Rattus norvegicus: one gene and its partners. The protein of the gene in region 3 purifies or fractionates together with the protein of the main gene of each other region. This does not show direct contact. Links are inferred from orthologs where the notes say so. Each region holds a gene or a part of one and is shown on either strand. Other genes may lie near its edges.

The links.
Region 1: the proteins of Rbbp7 (region 3) and Zbtb2 purify together in Homo sapiens (affinity purification with mass spectrometry; 3 studies listed by BioGRID and IntAct, counting the BioPlex papers as one, with this or other methods). This does not show direct contact. The link is inferred for Rattus norvegicus from reciprocal best matches to the Homo sapiens genes RBBP7 and ZBTB2.
Region 2: the proteins of Rbbp7 (region 3) and Phf19 purify together in Homo sapiens (affinity purification with mass spectrometry; 3 studies listed by BioGRID and IntAct, with this or other methods). This does not show direct contact. The link is inferred for Rattus norvegicus from reciprocal best matches to the Homo sapiens genes RBBP7 and PHF19.

What each region holds. Positions count from the first base shown.
Region 1 is NC_086019.1:43,236,837-43,242,848, reverse strand, and holds the start of Zbtb2 (zinc finger and BTB domain-containing protein 2), read left to right. Parts: upstream 1-2,528; 5' UTR 2,529-2,544; coding exon 2,545-2,717; intron 2,718-6,012. UniProt on the Homo sapiens protein: May be involved in transcriptional regulation.
Region 2 is NC_086021.1:38,590,371-38,596,645, reverse strand, and holds the start of Phf19 (PHD finger protein 19), read left to right. Parts: upstream 1-2,791; 5' UTR 2,792-2,836; intron 2,837-5,037; exon of another isoform or gene 5,038-5,040; 5' UTR 5,041-5,046; coding exon 5,047-5,226; intron 5,227-5,642; coding exon 5,643-5,724; intron 5,725-6,275.
Region 3 is NC_086039.1:35,551,919-35,557,393, forward strand, and holds part of Rbbp7 (histone-binding protein RBBP7), read right to left. Parts: intron 1,514-5,475; coding exon 1,368-1,513; intron 808-1,367; coding exon 634-807; intron 1-633. UniProt on the Homo sapiens protein: Core histone-binding subunit that may target chromatin remodeling factors, histone acetyltransferases and histone deacetylases to their histone substrates in a manner that is regulated by nucleosomal DNA.

The sequences.
Region 1 (6,012 bases), on a different chromosome or scaffold from region 3:
CACTAAATCATGTTTCCTGATTAAATAAACCTCACGTTTCTGTAAAAGCAGACACTGCAGTTTATATCATGGAATGGCCACACATCTGAGCTGAGGCGCTTTAGGCCTTACCTTTGCTACAGGAAGCACTCCTGCTATGAATCCCAACCATGGCTGCAGTGAAGCCCTGGTGTGCAACACTTCAAATGTACCACGGCTAATGTCACGCCTCCTAGCTGCTGCTTTGAGAAACTCTTTGCTGTTGCCCTTCACGTTCAGTTAGGAGACACTGTATGGGCTGTATAGGAGACACTGTATGCCACATGGCATCTGTGAGACATCTCTGTCACCACAGGTGTCCTCATTCCCTTTGTAGCAATACCCACCTGTTTCTCTTCACCATGACATGTCTGTTCTCCATTTCTCTAAATTCCATGCCTAGTCTATTAAAGAACGCATCAGTGAGTTTGTTCTTTGCCGTATTTCGGTGAGCGTCATTCACTCTTCTAACTTTTGTTTGCAATGGTTGATTTGTTTTGTTTTGGTTTTGTTCTGGAGACAGAGTCTCAATGTAGCCCAGGCTGACCTCACACTCCCAGTCCTCAGCCTTCTGAATGCTGGGATTAGTGTGTTGGCCACCACGGCTAGCTGTGGTCCGTCTCTTCCAATGACTAAGTGGTTCGTTCCACAGCCTAACTACCCAGCAACTGAAGGACAGCTGGGTTGTTTCTGGTAAAGTCACTACAGACATCAGTGTACAATTTTGTGTAAAAGTACATTTTTGTTTCATGGAATAAACGTATCAGAGTAGCCATTGAGCTGTCTGTAGTCTCCAGTTGTACCATCCCCCCTTCCCCCCCAGCAGCATGAGTCAAGTGATGTGAGATGTGACCGTGTGACATTGTTTCCCTGGGGACAACGGTACTGAACACTGTCTGGCCTCTTACCACTTCTTTCCCTTGTGGTGACCTCTGAAACCCATCATCCTTCCCAGTTTGTTTTGTATATTTCAGGGTTTTTTTCTTTACTTTCCAAGTACTGGCACTCTGAGGAGTTGCGAAGTTCCAGATGCGTTCTCCTAGTCCTTAGCTACCTGTCCATCCTTAGCAGAGCACTTCCCAGAGCCCACACTTGTAATTTCACCAAGTCTGACTTACCTCTTCCCCTTCTGCAGATCCCTAAGGTTTTTTTTTTTTTTCTAAACTCCTTTTGTTGTGTGTGCCTTCTGCTTAAGGCCAGGAATCATTTTTAGTGTGTTTGTATGAGAGCATGAGACTTACTCAAGGGTCTTTCTGTCTTGCCTTCTGAGGTTCAGCTGGTCCAGCACCGTCTGGGAGTAATGTATGCTGTCTGTGTCAAACATCCCTCCTGCATCCTTCTGTGGGCCAGCCCCCTCCCCAGGTTCTGTTGAAGTACAGCCCATCTCTTCCTGGAGCTCTGTGCTGCCACCACATCTTGGGGTGCGTGCAGAGGCCTGACTCCCCACCTGTTGGTTCTTAGCTGAAGACATTGTACTTTCTTTGTTTGCCTATCCACATGTTTTCATGCAAATTTGTCTGTGTAGATTTGAGATTTAGCATTTTATATTTTTCCATCTAACTCCGCACGCCTTGGTATGTTTACTTGTGTGTCCTATTGTTTCATTGTGATGGTGTTGTTTCTCGTTTCCATGTTCAGCGCTAGTGGGTGAAATTACATTAGGGTTTGGGAATTGTTTCTTGATGCTTCTTATACCTTACCAGACTTTATTACTTATGAAGGCTTCTGTATAAATTCTTTGGATTCTGTACATTATCAGTTTGCTTCTTCTCTTTCTGCCTGCAGACTTCTATTTCTGTCTTGTTTTCCACCTGACGCTGCTGTTTTCTGGGCGCTGCTGGAGAGGCCTGCACTTCGTAGCCTTGCTCTGGCTCTTGGGGAAAGCCATGCTGCTCCCTGCAGTGTGCTTTCCAGGTGTGCTTGTGGAAAGAGAGCCATCTAGGGATTCAGGAGCCTAGCAGGCTCAGGCAGCTTCTTACAGTAAACAGATGGCCCCCTGGACTTGGTAGGGGACGGAATAATGTAAATCTCCGAATTTGAAGTAGGCGCATTCAAATTTAAATGTGAACTCCTCTGCTTTCCCTGAAGGCCTGGGGCAACTTACCTACAAGTCTCAAAATCTCTTTCCTCCTCCGCAGAAGGGAGGCCCAGCTTCATTGCTAATGGTTATGCAAGCCTTTGTGGACTGCCGGTAGTTGAGGAGTCTTGGTGAAAGACTGGGCAGATTCTCAGGAATCTTTAGTGTTTGGGGACCCTTACAGGGCTGATTCTTGGAGGGACACTGCCTGGGTTTATTTCCAGCCTGGGCAGGTTACACCTCCTGAGTTGCCCTAGAGGACACATCTGAAAATAGGTCCTGTTCCAGGGACTGTTGAGCAATACAGTGAATTGGTGTATGTTCCATGTTTAACGGACTTGACATGTTAGCCTTGGTGACATGTTAGCTGGGAACATTAGGACACATTCTTATTTGTGGAACACCTTTCTTAAAAATGAAATTGTTTACTTTGCAGATTTTTTTAAAAAATGGATTTGACCAACCATGGACTTATTCTACTGCAGCAGTTAAACGCTCAGCGGGAGTTTGGGTTCCTGTGTGACTGCACGGTTGCAATCGGCGATGTGTACTTCAAGGCACACAAATCCGTTCTCGCTTCATTCTCCAATTACTTTAAGATGTTGTTTGTCCATCAGACCAGGTAACTAAAGCGGTTGATAATCTAAGGGCTGTAGACCTCCTGACGCTGGGCTCCTCTTCCCACTCTGCCTTCATTCAGACCATGAATCTCTCTGCCTCTCCCAGGATCTAGGCACCCACCCCACTCCCTAGTTACCCCACCAGCCTCTGCCTTTCTTGGTTACTAATGCTTTCATTAGCACTCGAGAATCACCTACCTAGTCTGGCCCCACCCAGCCCCTCCTCCAAACTGCCTTCCTGCCTGAGAGTCTCACCTCCTGCTCCTCCAAGCCCAATCCCCTGATTCCCCTTTGAATACTTAGTTTTAAGTGAAAAGCTGGAGGGCTCAGATTTCCTGTTCCCTCTTTTGTAATGCAAAATTCTGTCTTTGCTGATTTCTTTTCTTCTGATTTCTCCTAAATATTTTAGGGAAAGGAATCTCTGGGTATGTGAGGAAAACAATCTCCCCTCTCCCCTCTCCCGTCTCCCCTCTCCCCTCTCCCGTCTCCCCTCTCCCCTCTCCCCTCTCCCGTCTCCCCTCTCCCCTCTCCCCTCTCCCCTCTCCCCTCTCCCCTCTCCCCTCTCCCCTCTCCCCTCTCCCCTCTCCCCTCTCCCCTTCCTCCAATCTCTCCATCTTATTCTACTCTTCACCATCCTGACTCTCACCCCACCCCACCCCCTGCCTACTCTGGGCAGAAGACTGCCCTTGACCTGGCCAGCCAGGGAATCCTGCCGAGTTCTCTGTTCTCCTTGAACCTTCTTGAAAGGGCACCCGTGCCTTTGACAGCTCTGCTCATCCCATACTCTTCCAGTCCTCTGTGCTGTGGTTTCCTCTCTCTACTGCAGTCATGTTCCAAAGGACATCTCTCCACCAGAGCACTGCCCTCTTGCAGGCCATCCTCCTGTCCTCCTCAGCCCTCACTGTACCAAATGTCCTTTGTTCTTCACGGGGCACCAGGGCCTCCAGCCTGGGGCCTCCTGAGCCCTTGCTGTCTTTGCACATTGTCTGTGTGGAGCAGGTCATCTCCCTTTCCTTGGTAGGTGGAAGCTTGTTAGTTTCAGCTCTGGCCTCCATCATTCTGTTTCTAGTTACAGAACCCCACCCTGGCTGCCTGCTGGTCCTTTAGACCTGACTGTGCTCCCTCTGTTTCTCTCATTGGGCGGGACTAAAACTGAATTAAAAGGGTCTCTCCAAAGACTCCTGGCTTGCCTGTTTTCATCTTCAAGTAGGCCAGGCTTCAGATCCATTTCCGATCATATCTCATCTATCCTAGGCCATGGCTCTTCAGCACATGTCCCATTGCCCTGGCCTCACGTGCTCACTCCCATTTTGTAACCACCCATTGTCCACATCACTGTCAGCTTAGTGTCCCCAGAGACTACTTGGGATGAGGTGAGCCTCTGTCCACAACTTCCCACAGTGGAGCACTACCCACTGCCCACTCCCCACCTTTCCCTGCCCTCATCCTGGTCATCAGTCAAGGATGACTGTTGTGCCTTTCAGGAGCGCAGTGTTCACTCTAAGTTGTGCTCTGTGCACTCACCCCTCCGCTCACTTGTGAATGCCATCCGGAGACTTCCCTCTCCTACAGTAAGACTTACAGATCTACCACACCACAGGGCACACACCACTGAGGGGGGCTGAGGCATCAAAGAGCCACTTGGTAAACATCTGTAGGAGCAGGAAGGCCAGGAGCAGGGGCCTTAGCAGTGAATTGTCATCTTAGAGGGCTGGGAATGATTCCTCTGAGCAGGGCATGCGAGATGTATTCCTGTGATCCTAGCTCGAGGGAGGCTGAGGCAGCAGAGTTGTCAGGTCCAGACTAGCCAAGACCCCATCTCAAAGCAAATTCATACGTAGACTCCCCGTCCTTTAACATCGATATGCTAAAGCTGGGTTTGGCAGCAACTAATCTCAATACAGTGAACTAACTGATCTTGGAAAAGAAATGTCTGCAACTTGGAAATGTGAAAGACGATGTAATGGGTTTTTAATTAGGTGCAAGACATGTCCTTTCTTTACATATAGGGCAGTGAACAAAGATCTTTCTAACAGGGGTGTCTTTGTATGTGAGCACACCCCAGTACACACCTGTGTGCAGACTTCAGGTTCACGGTCACAGACAGCAGACAGCAGACAGCAGTGCTTAAGCAGCTCCTCCTGCAGCCTCAGGCGCCTGGCCTACCTCTAGGCGAAGATGAGAAGTTTCTGTCCTTCAGTCACCACTAGGTGTCTCTATCTTTTCTCTGTAGACTAAGCACTGAAGAGTAAAACTTGCTAAGAATAACTGCTGACTGTGGTGGCCGTGCCTTTCTTTAATCTAGTACTCTAGAGGCAGCGGCAGGTGGATCACTGTGAGGTCAAGACTGGCCTGGTCTTCATATTGAAACCCTGTCTCCATTTTTAAAAAAATGTTTAACATTATTTAAAACTCTCACCCTAGAATTCTAGTGAAGGAGAAACTGACCTTGGAATTACTGTTTGTGATTGTGCTAACCCACCCTTTGCCATTCTCCTGCCTGGCAGCTGTGTGCATCTCGGAGCTTAGGTGGGACTGCTTGTGTGTATTGTAGAAGAGAAGTGACAGTCGGGCCCCTGTCACATTAAGTGGATAGGAAGAAGGAGCAGTCCAACCAGCCCCGAGGAAAGGAGCACAGGATTGCAGTAGCCGAAAGTCACAGAAGAAACTACGTGTGTGTGTGTGTGTGTGTGTGTGTGTGTGTGTGTGTGTGTGTGTGTGTGTACACATGTGCTTGCTGGGCTACCCCAGGGACTCCCAGCTTCCTGCCTGTAGTGTTCCACCAGTGCTGCCGAGCCAGCAGCCCAGTGCTCACTCCTCAGCCTGGCTGAAGTGTATGTAGTACTTACTGGCCTCCTGGTTCTGTCCTTGCACCGTCAGGAATTACACACACTTGTTTAAAATTGTAGAGGCTTACTGTCAGCAACAACTTCCAAGCAATCAATAGAATGGGCCGTCCAACCACAGCGAGCAACTACAAAGCCCTCTGGAAAGGGGCCCCGCTGGGTAGGACTGGAAATGCTGGAAGGAAGCCCCGACTGTACTTCCCCTCCCTTGAGCACCACATCCATCCATCTCCTGGAGAAATACACATCTCTGGGGGCCTAGGTCTCTGAGCTCTGAGCCTCTGCCTGATGATGGCAGTGGCTCCACGCCCCTTTAGTTCCAACACTGGGAAGCAGGAGGTGGATCTCTGAGCTCCAGGCCAGCCTGACCTACAAAGGAAACCTTGTCTCAGACAGAGTAAGAAAGAAAAGACTAAGTAAACAGGAACTGTCATACTGGCACTGGGTGCTG
Region 2 (6,275 bases), on a different chromosome or scaffold from region 3:
ACTCTGGGAACTTTTGAAGTTGGACTATATGTTTTAGCATTATGCTATGGTCCCCATAGACTCATGTGTTTCAACAAGCCTATGGGGGCCAGGGAGTGGAATTTGGTGGTTTAAATATGCTTGGCCCAGGGAGAGGCACTATTAGGAGGTGTGGCCTTGTTGGAAGTGGGCTTTGAGACCCTCTTCCTAGCTGCTTGAAGACAATCTTCTCCTGTCTGCCTTTGAAGGACAGGAGAGGCTTTGGCTCCTCCAGCCCATATCTTCCTGGATGCTGCCGTGCTCCCACCTTGATGATAGTGAACTGAATCTCTGAACCATAAGCCAGCCCCAGTTAAATGTTGTCCTTTATGAGTTGCCTTGGTCAAGGTGTCTCTTCACAGCAATTTCCCTAAGACATGCGGGAAACACGGGATGCTCATGAATCTGCAAGTCATCCTTGAACAGGGCCATGCTAAGTTTCTCTGCATCATTCAAATTTTAGTATATATGTTGCCTAATCAAGCTCTGATCATTTTTTTTATTAGTCTATTGGTTTTTCAAGACATGGTTTCTCTGGCTGTTCTGGAATTCCCTCTATAGACCAGGGTGGCCTCAAACTCAGAAATCCACCTTGCTCTGCCTCCCAAGTAGATTAAAGGCCTATGCTACCACTCCTGGCTAGCACTTCTTATTGTTTTAACCTGGAATTTTTTTGGGGGGGAGGGGCAGTCCATTCAATTCCCTCCCCCTGAAATCCATGCCTCTCTGTTTCTGCATCCTGTCCAAATGCCAATTCCTCCTTGGAACTTAGCTTGTAAACCACTGTGAACGACACCACGTTTCTTGTGACATTACAGTCTCCTGTCTTTAGTGTGTCAACAGCTTCTCATTTCATACACCGCTTTGGAGTTTACTGAAGCACCTGCTCCTTCTTGGCCTATGTTAACTTTATCTAGGCGATGGCCCCGTGGGGCAGAGTAGTGTTGCCACTGCTTTGGAACAGATAGAATGGGGTATATAAATAAACCTTGGGGGGTGGGGCTGACTAGCTTACCCACAGTCCCTCTGCTCAGAAGCAGAACTGGCCTCAGAGCAACAGTTCCCAAATTATATGCCAAAGGTCTTTGTTCACATTAATGTGTTTCCCCCGTACTGGCTTCCTCACCGGACTGCAGGCCCCAATTCCCTTACTTGCCTGTGTGCTCTAAGCCAGTTGTAGCCCTACACGAGAGAACGGTGGATGGATACAGATGGGACAAAGTTCACTATTTACCTTCTGCCCACCTATGGGGTGACAAGGACTTAGTATACAGCGCCTCTAACCATCCCAACAGCTGGACAACAAGTGACGCAGAGTCTCACATCCAAGAATAGGTGGCGCCAGCCCATGAGCTACAGAGACAGGCTTGCTCTGTTGTCTCTGCCTCTGGAATCCTAAAGGTGCCTCTGGGCAGCCTCGGGCTCGTGACAGAGCTTCCTGGACAGAGGTGTTATCTCTGCAGAAGGCAATGTGTAGCTATGCCTTCCTAGGCTGGAAGATCCTGTCTGGTGGGGCTGCTACCAACTTCCTTTCCAGGCTCAGCCAAGGGAGACAGATGCTCAAATTAACCAGATTCTGCTGTGGGTCAAATCCCCAGGAAGACCAGAGAAGCAGGAAGACCCAGGGGAAAGGGGGGATGTGGACATGTGAAAGAGGATTCCTATATCTCAAGCTGGGGGGCGGGGGGAAGAAGGTGGAAGGCAGGCAGGCGCTGCAGGTCAGACTGCCCACCACGCAGGAAGCAGAGGACCAGTGTGGCCCCTGGAAAATGAACAGGGAAGGCTCTGGGAAGGAAAAGCAGTACACAACCACACCAAGAATGCAAGCATTCCAGCAGGGTGTGCCTGCAGGGGGCCTTGCTAGCAGGTGCAGTGGGCAGTCCAGACCGAAAGCAGAGATGCGGGTAGTGGGTGTTACCAGTGTTATCTCCAGCCCTGGCGCCAAGAGTGAGTCTGGTTGAGGACACTCTGTCTTTTCTCCTGGAGGGAGGGAGATCTTATCTGACTGGAGCCATATCCACAAGATCTGTCTTAGGTCTGCCCTTTACGTATTTGTCGTGTTTGTGCCCACGGTCTACGTGACTATTTCTCTTACACTGTTATCTCTACAGTGCGTGACTGGCATACTCGAGTGGGTCTTGTGGTCACTGTGTCGGAGCTCTATGCTGCTGACTTGTGTGTGCCGTGCACGCGGTTTCGCGGGAGTCTATGCTGAAGGCAGAGTCATTTTGAGTGTTGTGACTTATGGCACACATATGTGTGCGTGTCCTGTGTCCGATTCTCTTAGGCTTGCCCTGGTCTCCGGGGAGTGACGTGGAGTGTCCGTGCTGTAAGATCAAGGTGTTGGGAGACCTACCCGGGTCCTGAAAGGTCTGGGTGTAGTAGCTGTGCGCGTGTGGTGTGTGTACGCCTGCCCAGCCGTGGGTCTGTGCAGCTGTGTTTCCGCGTGTGCCCGCTCTGCTCGCTGCGCGGGGGCGGCCCCGGGAGGCGCTGCGGGGCCCCGCCGGCCGCGGGCTCCAATGGCAAAGCCGGTGCGGCCCCTGCTAATTACATAAGCGGGGACGTCAATAATTCGCGGGAAAACGCGAAAAAGATGGCGCCCCGCGCCCGGGGGGCCCCTTCCTGAGCGCACCGGCCCCTCCCTCCCTGCGTCCCCTCCTCCCCGCGGCGCCCCCGCCCCGCCCCGCCCCCGCCGAGACCCCTACCCCGGCCCCAGGGGCGGACACTCGGCCGGGCAGTCCTGGGCCGAGCGCACCACCGCCACCGATGTGCTTGGTGGCCAGACTCCAAGTGGGACCGGCTGACGCGCTGCCTCGCGGTAAGTCCCGCGCTGCGGGCGCCCCGGGAGTGTCCGCGTTTCACGCTTCAATCCTGCACACGATCCCTCTCCCAGAAACCTAGATTGAGCCCTACGATCCCCGGGCGGGGGCTGGAGTTCTGAGGAGCTGCGCGCTTGTAGGATGGGAACGGAGATGGAGCCCGAGCGGTACCCTCAGGGCAGCGGGAGTCCCAGCCACATCCCCAGCGCTGGGCAGGATGTGGGTGACAGGTCTCCGTTTGTGGCCGCGTGTCTTTTCTTTTCCATTTGAAGCTATGGAGGGGAGGATAGGCAGGGCATTTGGGATTTTGCTCACGTCCAAAGTCAGGCTACGATAGGCTGGGAGCGGGGAAAGTTTGCAGTTAGAGCAACTGAGGAAAGGAGTGCCTGTAGCTGAAGGGGACACTTTTTGCAAGCTATCCTCTCCCCTGAACACCCTTTTAAAAAGCCAACGGCCGCCCTGGAGAGGCCTCGGCGCATGAATCATCCGCGCTTCCTGCCCCCGCCCGGCCCCGCGCGCCCAGTGCCGCGGATTTGAACTGGACGCCGACGGGAACCCGCAAACAAGCACTTCTGTGCCGATGGGTTTGAATCAGCCAATCACAGCCCGCGGGGGCCCTCTCCAGGAGGATGGAGGCGAGATGGGGGGGCCACCACCCGGGGGCCCAGCACGGCCTCGGGGGCGCAGCGACCCGGCCTGCCCCCAAAATCTCAGTGGGGGAGGAAATGTCAGTTTGTGAACCTGCCGAGGCCGGCCACACTCCAGACCCAGCATGCGGGGATCTCCCAGCTCCCAAAGAGCCAAGTGCCAGGGAGATGGCAAAAAAGTTCTGACTACAGCCCTTACCTGGTGCTTGTTCCTCTGCCCTGGAGTAAAAGATAGGAAGGAGAAGGCAGAAGGAGGTTGATTCCCATCATTTGAAGACCCTAGATCCTGACTATGCCCCACCGCCCCAGGCCCCTCACATGCCCACGTGTATTTAGTTTTACGTATAGGACTGGCACACTGCCATAGACTATCCTACAGTCTCTGAAGAGGCACTCACATGAAAACACACCCGGAGCTGTCTTCTTGTGGGCTGGCAGGGCACCAGGTGCCCAACACCTTAGGCAGAGGGAGGAACCCTGAACAGGAGCGCCCCCCACCATCCCCTTACACTACAACATAAGGAAACTGTATTTGATCTTAGGAGAGTATGTGTGGAGGAATACGACCACGGAGGGGAGAAAGCAATAACTGACCACCAGCGAAGGTTTGGGAAGCCACAAACCTTCTGGAAGGTTCAGATAGAGAAGCTGGGTGCCCTGAGGCTCCCCGTTCCAGGTACCAGGCAGTAGCAAGCAACAGGCTCAGGAAAATAGGCTTGGAAAAGGTGAATGAAATAGCTGATGAGGAAAAATGAGACAAGAGTTGGAAGCAGGACATGATGGGAAATAGGGCAGGATGCTCCAACCACTCTAGGGTGGAGATTCGGAGTTTCTCAGGCCACTGTCCAAAAAGCCCGCTGTGGCAGTGCACTGGTTGGAGAAGTGACCACCACCACGGTGATACCTCTATCAGGAACAGAGAAGCAAAAGGCAGCACTTTAATGAGATGTAGAGAGCCAGATGTGTTAGACTGGTATGGCAATGGCTTAGCTGCTTTGAGCCAATGTGTATGTGGATAAAAGCATGGGCAGGTTTAAATGCCCCAAACTGGTTCCCATGAAGTTATCGGTTAATCGAGAACAGAAAGGGGAATTTCAAAAGGGGGGGGGGGCGCATGGCTATGTTATGCGGTTCCCATGCCACCTCAAGAATTTTCATTGCTAGGTGGGCTTTTCTCTGAAGATGTTTTAGGGGAAACATAACATTTTAAGTGCTTGCTTCCTTGGAACTGAGCACACATATGGGACAAAGCTTCAGCCTCCTGGACATGAGGTGGGGTTCAGATCCCTGGGTCCTTTGCGCCAGGTATGGCGGGAAGATACACTCTCTTAGCAGCATGGTATGGTATAGAGCCTCCTTGACTCCCTGTGAGCCATGGCTGCGCCTCTGGGTCACCAGCCACTTCTTCTTGTATCTCCTGTTTCCCTATCCGTAGAATGAGATAATAATGTCTCCCTCCCAGAGTTGTACTGTCAATAAACGTGTTTGAGAGCCTTACTGGATTTCAGGAGCAGGAAGCAAGATAAATATTGCTCTTTCTCCTCCGGTGTCAGCAGAAGCTGATGGAGACGCAAGCTCTGGAACCAGGGACTCAGGAAGCCTTTGGTGCCACCAGCCCTAACAAGGGGGCCCCGTCTAAGACCAAAAAGAACTTCAAAGACTTGATGTCTAAGGTGACAGAGGGACAGTTTGTGCTATGCCGGTGGACTGACGGGCTATACTACCTTGGCAAGATCAAGCGGGTAAGTCTGCTCTGGTCCTTGGGCCCAGGCTCCTGTGTTTTTCTGCTCATCTCCTTTTACCCCTCATGCCTAAAGCTGAAAGTGGAAGGGACCAGAGCTTGGCTTTGCAGGCTCCAAGTCCTCAGGCACAATGTGGCCCAGCAGGTTCTTCAAAGAACTTAAGCAAGCACCAGACTGGGCAGGGCATGGATGACTCTCTGACCTGCTCTTCGATCCTTAAAAGCATCCCCATTAAGTCGTCCCCTTGTTCCTAAAGGCCATACTCTGAGGTGGGAAACACAGCTCTCCTTCTGGCCTGTCTTCTGAAGCACAAGGCCAAGAGAGACAGAGGAAGACTGAGACCCAGCTCCCCCCTGCTGCTCCCTCCTGCTGCTCCCCCCTGCTGCTCCTCCACATTTCTTCTCTCTTTGCCTCAGGTCAGCAGTCCTAAGCAAAGCTGCCTCGTGACTTTCGAAGACAATTCCAAATACTGGGTCCTTTGGAAGGACATCCAGCATGGTGAGTGTCCAAGTGTCCACTGCCGCTCCCCCATGCCTCTTCTCTGCCTTCAGTTTTGCCCTCTCTGTCACCCCCTTTTTTTTCCTGGCATCTGTTCTAGTCCATGAACCCTAGGCCTTGAGTACTCATCTTGGGCCCGTCTAGAAGTGAAGTGATAATTAAATGTCAACTCCTGGATCTCCTTTCTGAATGCTCACACTTCAAAAGGGAAGCAGGGCAGAGGGAAGAGGAGCTTGGACATTTATTAGCACCAAGAGTGCTTGGACTGGGTCTCGGGCCTGCAGTTTGAGTCCTTCCTGAATGGCATCTGCTACTCTGGGTCTCCTAGAGCTAGAGAGGAGGAAGAGGCCAGAGGAGAGGGAGGTGTCAGTTATAGATTTGAACTGTGTTCCCTATTTGCATGTGAAGAGAACCTGTGGGGGAGGTGGGGGAGGTGCAGTCAAGAAAGCATGAGAGTGGCCGAGCTGAGATGGAGCAGGGTCATCTGTGAGGATGAGAGGGGAGTTGGAGTGAGTACCACCCCTGCCTTCAGATAGCTGACACCGTGTTAT
Region 3 (5,475 bases):
AACTCCAGACCTTGGGCCTCAAACAGGCTTCTCTGGACAGTCACTTAGTTTTCTGCTATAGAAAAACCATCTCCTGTTTGACTCCAGAAAGGAGGTACTCAGAAGCCTGTATTCGTACCCTGTGGAGACCTATCTACTGCCTATCTGATTGATATCTTTATTTTCTTCTGCTTTTGTTCTGGATCCTTTGCTTCAGTAAACCACATCTGCAAGTATAATTTGCTATCAGGTTCTAGTGAATCACCAAGCTTAGAGGTGGTTATGAAATCCCTCACTTTGTGAAGTTTTAAAAGTTATACAGACTACTTTAGATTTTACAAATTTATTTTGAGTAAATGACTTCCATATTTTCTACAAAAACACATACAAGTGTTTGACCTGCATGAATATCTGTGCACCACATACATACATGGTGCCCACAGGCCCAAAGAATTGGAACTAGAGTTACAAAGGCCTATGAGCTGCCATGTGGGTGCTGGGAATTGAACCCACATCCTATAGAAAAGCCAACAGAGTTTCTAACTGCTGTTGAGCCGATTTTCCAGTCTTAACAGTACAGTACTTTAAAGTATTTTTAAAATATTATCTCTAATCAAGAAAAATGTGTGATGGCCTGGCTTTATTAATACATACCTGGTTTTGCAGGGTGTTTTGTATAGTCAAAAACCAAAACATCAGAAGATGGTGTTTTTGTGGCAATGATGTGTGGGTTCTGTGGCATATAACGAGCGCGATTTACTTCTCCTTCATGATTAATTTTAATTTCACATTCAATTTTTCCTGTTACAGAACCAAAGCCACCAAATTCTAATGTAAGGAGACAAACAAAACATTCAGGATTAAAAATCACAAGTCATTTAGTGCATCAACCCAACCGATTTTACCCTGTCAGAGTAGAACACAAATTGAAGAGAAAAAGAAACTCTCCAAAATACAGGTTACCTGCTATATGAAATTTATTCTCAAAGCCCATTTTCAATATAATGGATTGCTTACCATGCTAAGTTAATAGTTTGTTCTACCTTGTGTATTAAAAAAAAACTAAAAAATTAGCCTTTTTATAGTTAAGATCTGATTATTAACAAAAATCTCACCTTCCGTACTGGTGCATATAGTTTTTCTTTTCATTCTTAATTGCTGAGAATATTATAAACACACTATATTGTGCTTAAACAATTTCCTATGAACCTTTCATTTCGCTAGACTAATCCTAATTTCTTGGTACTGTAAACGTTATTGTGAAAACCTCACATGTTGTGTTACTAGTTCTTTAAAAGTCACATTGCTAAGCCAAAAGCTAACTACAATATATATGCCAAGATGAATACTCCCTTTGACATTAATATTGAAATACACAGTATACCCACCTCCCTTGTCACTGTCACAATGGGAAGCATCAAACTGTGCATCATCATTGGGAATATGAACTCGAGCAACCACCAGATGATTCTGCTCATCAGATGTATGGGTACCCAGCACTAGCCAATGAAGGGCATAATCCTTTCCTTCTGGTCTGTGTAAGAGAAAAAAAGTCAAATGACTCCTATAAGAACTTTGAGCTGCTAACAAATTCAGTCTGGTTCCCTCCAAATTAACATGAACATTTCTTTAGCAAATATTTACTTAACACCAACCATAAACCTGCTTCCCATTTAATTACCAGGTTTATTATCCCCATACTTTCAAATGTTTTTCTTTCCTTCCTGAAGAGTCAGTCATCTTCCTTGCCCTCAATTATCATTGTAAATGCTACCTTTCCTAGGACAACTCACCAAACACACTAACTAGAAACCCATCACTGATCTATACTCATATCTAGACTTCTTAAATTGTACCTTCAGCCCATAGCTGACATTTTAATATAGCCAACATTTTAATATGTTAGATAGATGTTTCTGTTTTCCCAGTAAGAGGCAATGAGGTAAAATGGAATGAGTGAAGTGTTGAGGGAAAAAATGGGGGTTTATATCCTGGTGCAAACTAAAACTAGCTATATGCAATTATACGCGCAACCTCTCCAGTCTCATTTTCTTCACCTAAAAAAGAGGTTAAGTGAAATGACATGATATAAAAATCACTTATTTTTGTTTATGATACCTATGCAGTGAACATTCTCAATTTTAAGTGTTTCCGTTACCTTGCTCAACAGAAATTCACCTTGAAGCTGAAAAACTTGCCAGTGCCCCTTGGCATCATGGTCCAAACAGCAATTTTTGCACTGCTAAGTATCAACAACGCTTTCCCATTGTCTTATTAGAACAATTTTCAACTGTGCCCCACTGTCCCACAGAAAAGTAGGAGTCTACGTCCCAATACCAGACAAGTTAGGTCATATATGTTTGTTCCTAAATTTCACTTTACAAAGGAATCAGTGACTTTCTAAAATAGCAACCAAAAGAGTTGGAGATTATTTTTCTTCCCCCGGGAGCTGGGGACCGAACCCAGGGCCTTGCGCTTCCTAGGTAAGCGCTCTACCACTGAGCTAAATCCCCAGCCCCTTAGAGTTGGAGATTATTTACATGCATGTCATTTAGTAATAATTTACAAAATTAAGTTCTATCCAGTTAGGGTTTGGCTTATGGTAAAATAGAACACACACAACTCCTGAAAGGGATAGATAGAAGTGGCTAGCAATACTAGGTTTGAAAGGTAGGTATTAGTTCATGCATACACAGTAAGCCAAAAATATATGGCTTGGGGGGACAGGCATATCTATATTTACTCAGAAAAATTAACTTGGAAATTTTAGGCTTTGGCTGGGTGGCCTACATCTATAATCTCAACTATTCAGGCTGCTAAAGCAGAAAGATCACAAACTAAGGCCTGACAGGACCACGCCCTACGTTCAAGGCCAGTGTGCACAACTAAGCAGAGACCCTGACTCAAAAAAAGGTAAGAGTATTATTGAGAATATAGCTTGGTACTATAGCATTCAACTCTCATGCATGAAATCCTGGGTTAATTTCTAGTGTTGGAGAGGAAAAGGCCATAAATAGTGAACTTTAGAACTTGGACAAACCAAAATGTTTACAGGGAACAACAGTGGCTTAAAAATGAAAGGGATCTTAAGTATATCTCAAAAGAGATTATAGGAGAGAAAGTGACTAGGAAAATGAAGACCAGTAAGTATAATAAAAGCAGGTAGACAGTTTATTATAGGGCCTTTCTAAGAAGCACTGTACCAGCTAAACTGGGGGAATCCTAAAATTCAATTCAAATTCAAATATTCCGGTTTCACATGACTTGTTTCTCACATAAAGATTATTTTTACATTTTACTAAAAAGTCCTTTATCTCCACCATTAAATCAAACCTACTTCAGACCATGGTGGCATACAACTTTAATAGTAGCACTTAGGAGGCAGAAGCAGGTAGAGATCTAAGTTTGAGGCCATCCTGGTCTATAGAGTTGAGACATCTAAGGCTACACAGAAAAACCATATCTCAAAAAACAAAAACAAAAAAAAAAAAAACAAAAAACAAAACAAAACAAAAAAAAAACAAAACAAAAACAAACAAAAAAACCCAAAACCCAACCTACTTTCCTGAACTCATGATATTTTCCTCAGTATTGGACACACTGATAAAAAAGGCACTGATAAAAATAACAATCTAAGCTAGGCATGGTGGTACAGACCTTTTTTTTTTTTCTTTTTTTCGGAGCTGGGGACCGAACCCAGGGCCTTGCGCTTTCTAGGCAAGCGCTCTACCACTGAGCTAAATCCCCAACCCCCAGACCTTTAATTCCAGTACTCTGATGTTGAGGCAGGTAGTCAATCTCTGGGAGTAGACCCCATACCTGATCTACACAATGAGGTTCAGGTGAGCCAGAGCCACACAATGAAATAGACCCTATCTCAAGTTTTAAAGACCCCCATTATTAGCCTAGTAAGAGTACCAGTGGAAGGGGAAGCCCTTGGTCCTGCCAAGACTGAACCCCCAGTGAACGGGATTGTTGGGGAGAGGGTGGTAATGGGGGGAGGATGGGTGGAGAACACCCATGTAGAAGGGGAGGGGGAAGGGTTAGGGGGATGTTGGCCCAGAAACCGGGAAAGGGAATAACAATCTAAATGTAAATAAGAAATACTCAAGTTAATAAAGAAAAAAAAAAGACCCCCACTTAATCTCTATTACCAAAGTCCTTTTACTGTGTAACTGCAATGTTAAAGAAACTGACCCAACAATCACAAAAATAGGCTCTATTATAAGACTATTTCCAGTAGCACTGTTTATAGCAGCAAAGGTCCAAATACCACCTAAATACCCATTAACAAAGTTAACTGTGACACAAATTGTATTCATAAGTAGGACTGTGTGTGGCATCTTCGTAAAGAATGGGTGTGACAGCATACTGATAATCTCCAATATATTCTTTTGTTTGTTTTGAGAGACAGGGTCTACGTAACCCTGGCTGTCCTAGAACTTTGTATGTAGACCAGGTCCTGCTGTCTATCTCCCAATACTGAGATTAAAGTTATCTGCCACCACAAATTGGCAACAACTTGCTATCATAAAAACATCCCATGAACTGAAATGCAGAGGTCAGTTGGTCTCAAAATAACAAACAAAACAAACTTAAATAAGGAACCCAGGTTTGATAGTGCAGCATCGTAGTTACTCAGAAGCTAAGGTAGAAGATTCATGTTCAAGGCCACTCCCACCAACTAAATCTTTATTTAAAAAAAAAGTGTTTTTTTTGTTTGGTAATAATGCTTGGTGGTAGAGTGCTTGACCACAATTATGAGGCTCTGGATTCAATCTTCAGGACAAAAAAAAACTAGTGCACTTCTATATTCTCTCAAGATGGGCCAAAAATTTAAAACTGCTTTCACTAGAGCAGAGGGAATTAGGAGTACTGGCATGGAAGGGAACTTATTCTCTGCGCCGTAGACTTCTGTACTGACTGTTACTTAACAAGGAACAGGAATATAATCCAGTGGCAGAATGCATGCCTTGAATGCAGTTGTGTTCACTTTCCAGTTTATAAAAACTTAAAAAAAAAATCGCTGGAGAGATGGTTCGGCGGTTAAGAGCACTGACTGCTCTTCCAGAGGTCCTGAGTTCAAATCCCAGCAACTCATGGTGGATACAACCATCTGTAATGGGATCAGATGCCCTCTTGTGATGTGTCTGAAGACAGCTACAATGTACTTATAAATAAATATTAAAAGACTAAATCAATTGTTCAGACACAAGTCCAAGTAATTATTCGAAAATATATTAAACATAGTCTTGTTACTCAAAGACAGGCGTTTTGTTAAAAAAAAATCAGCCAATATTTCCATGACTGTATATGGTAATAAACTACAAGTCACTCTATACCCTCAAAATAAAACCCAACAAAGGACCATGGTGCTCAAGATTCAATATGTACTTTGTGATTTCTTCTTATAATCTCCAAACCTCTGAACCCCCCACAATTTTATCTCACTTTCTTTGTATACAAGTTAACATTTTCAAGGTAGAACATGGTGGT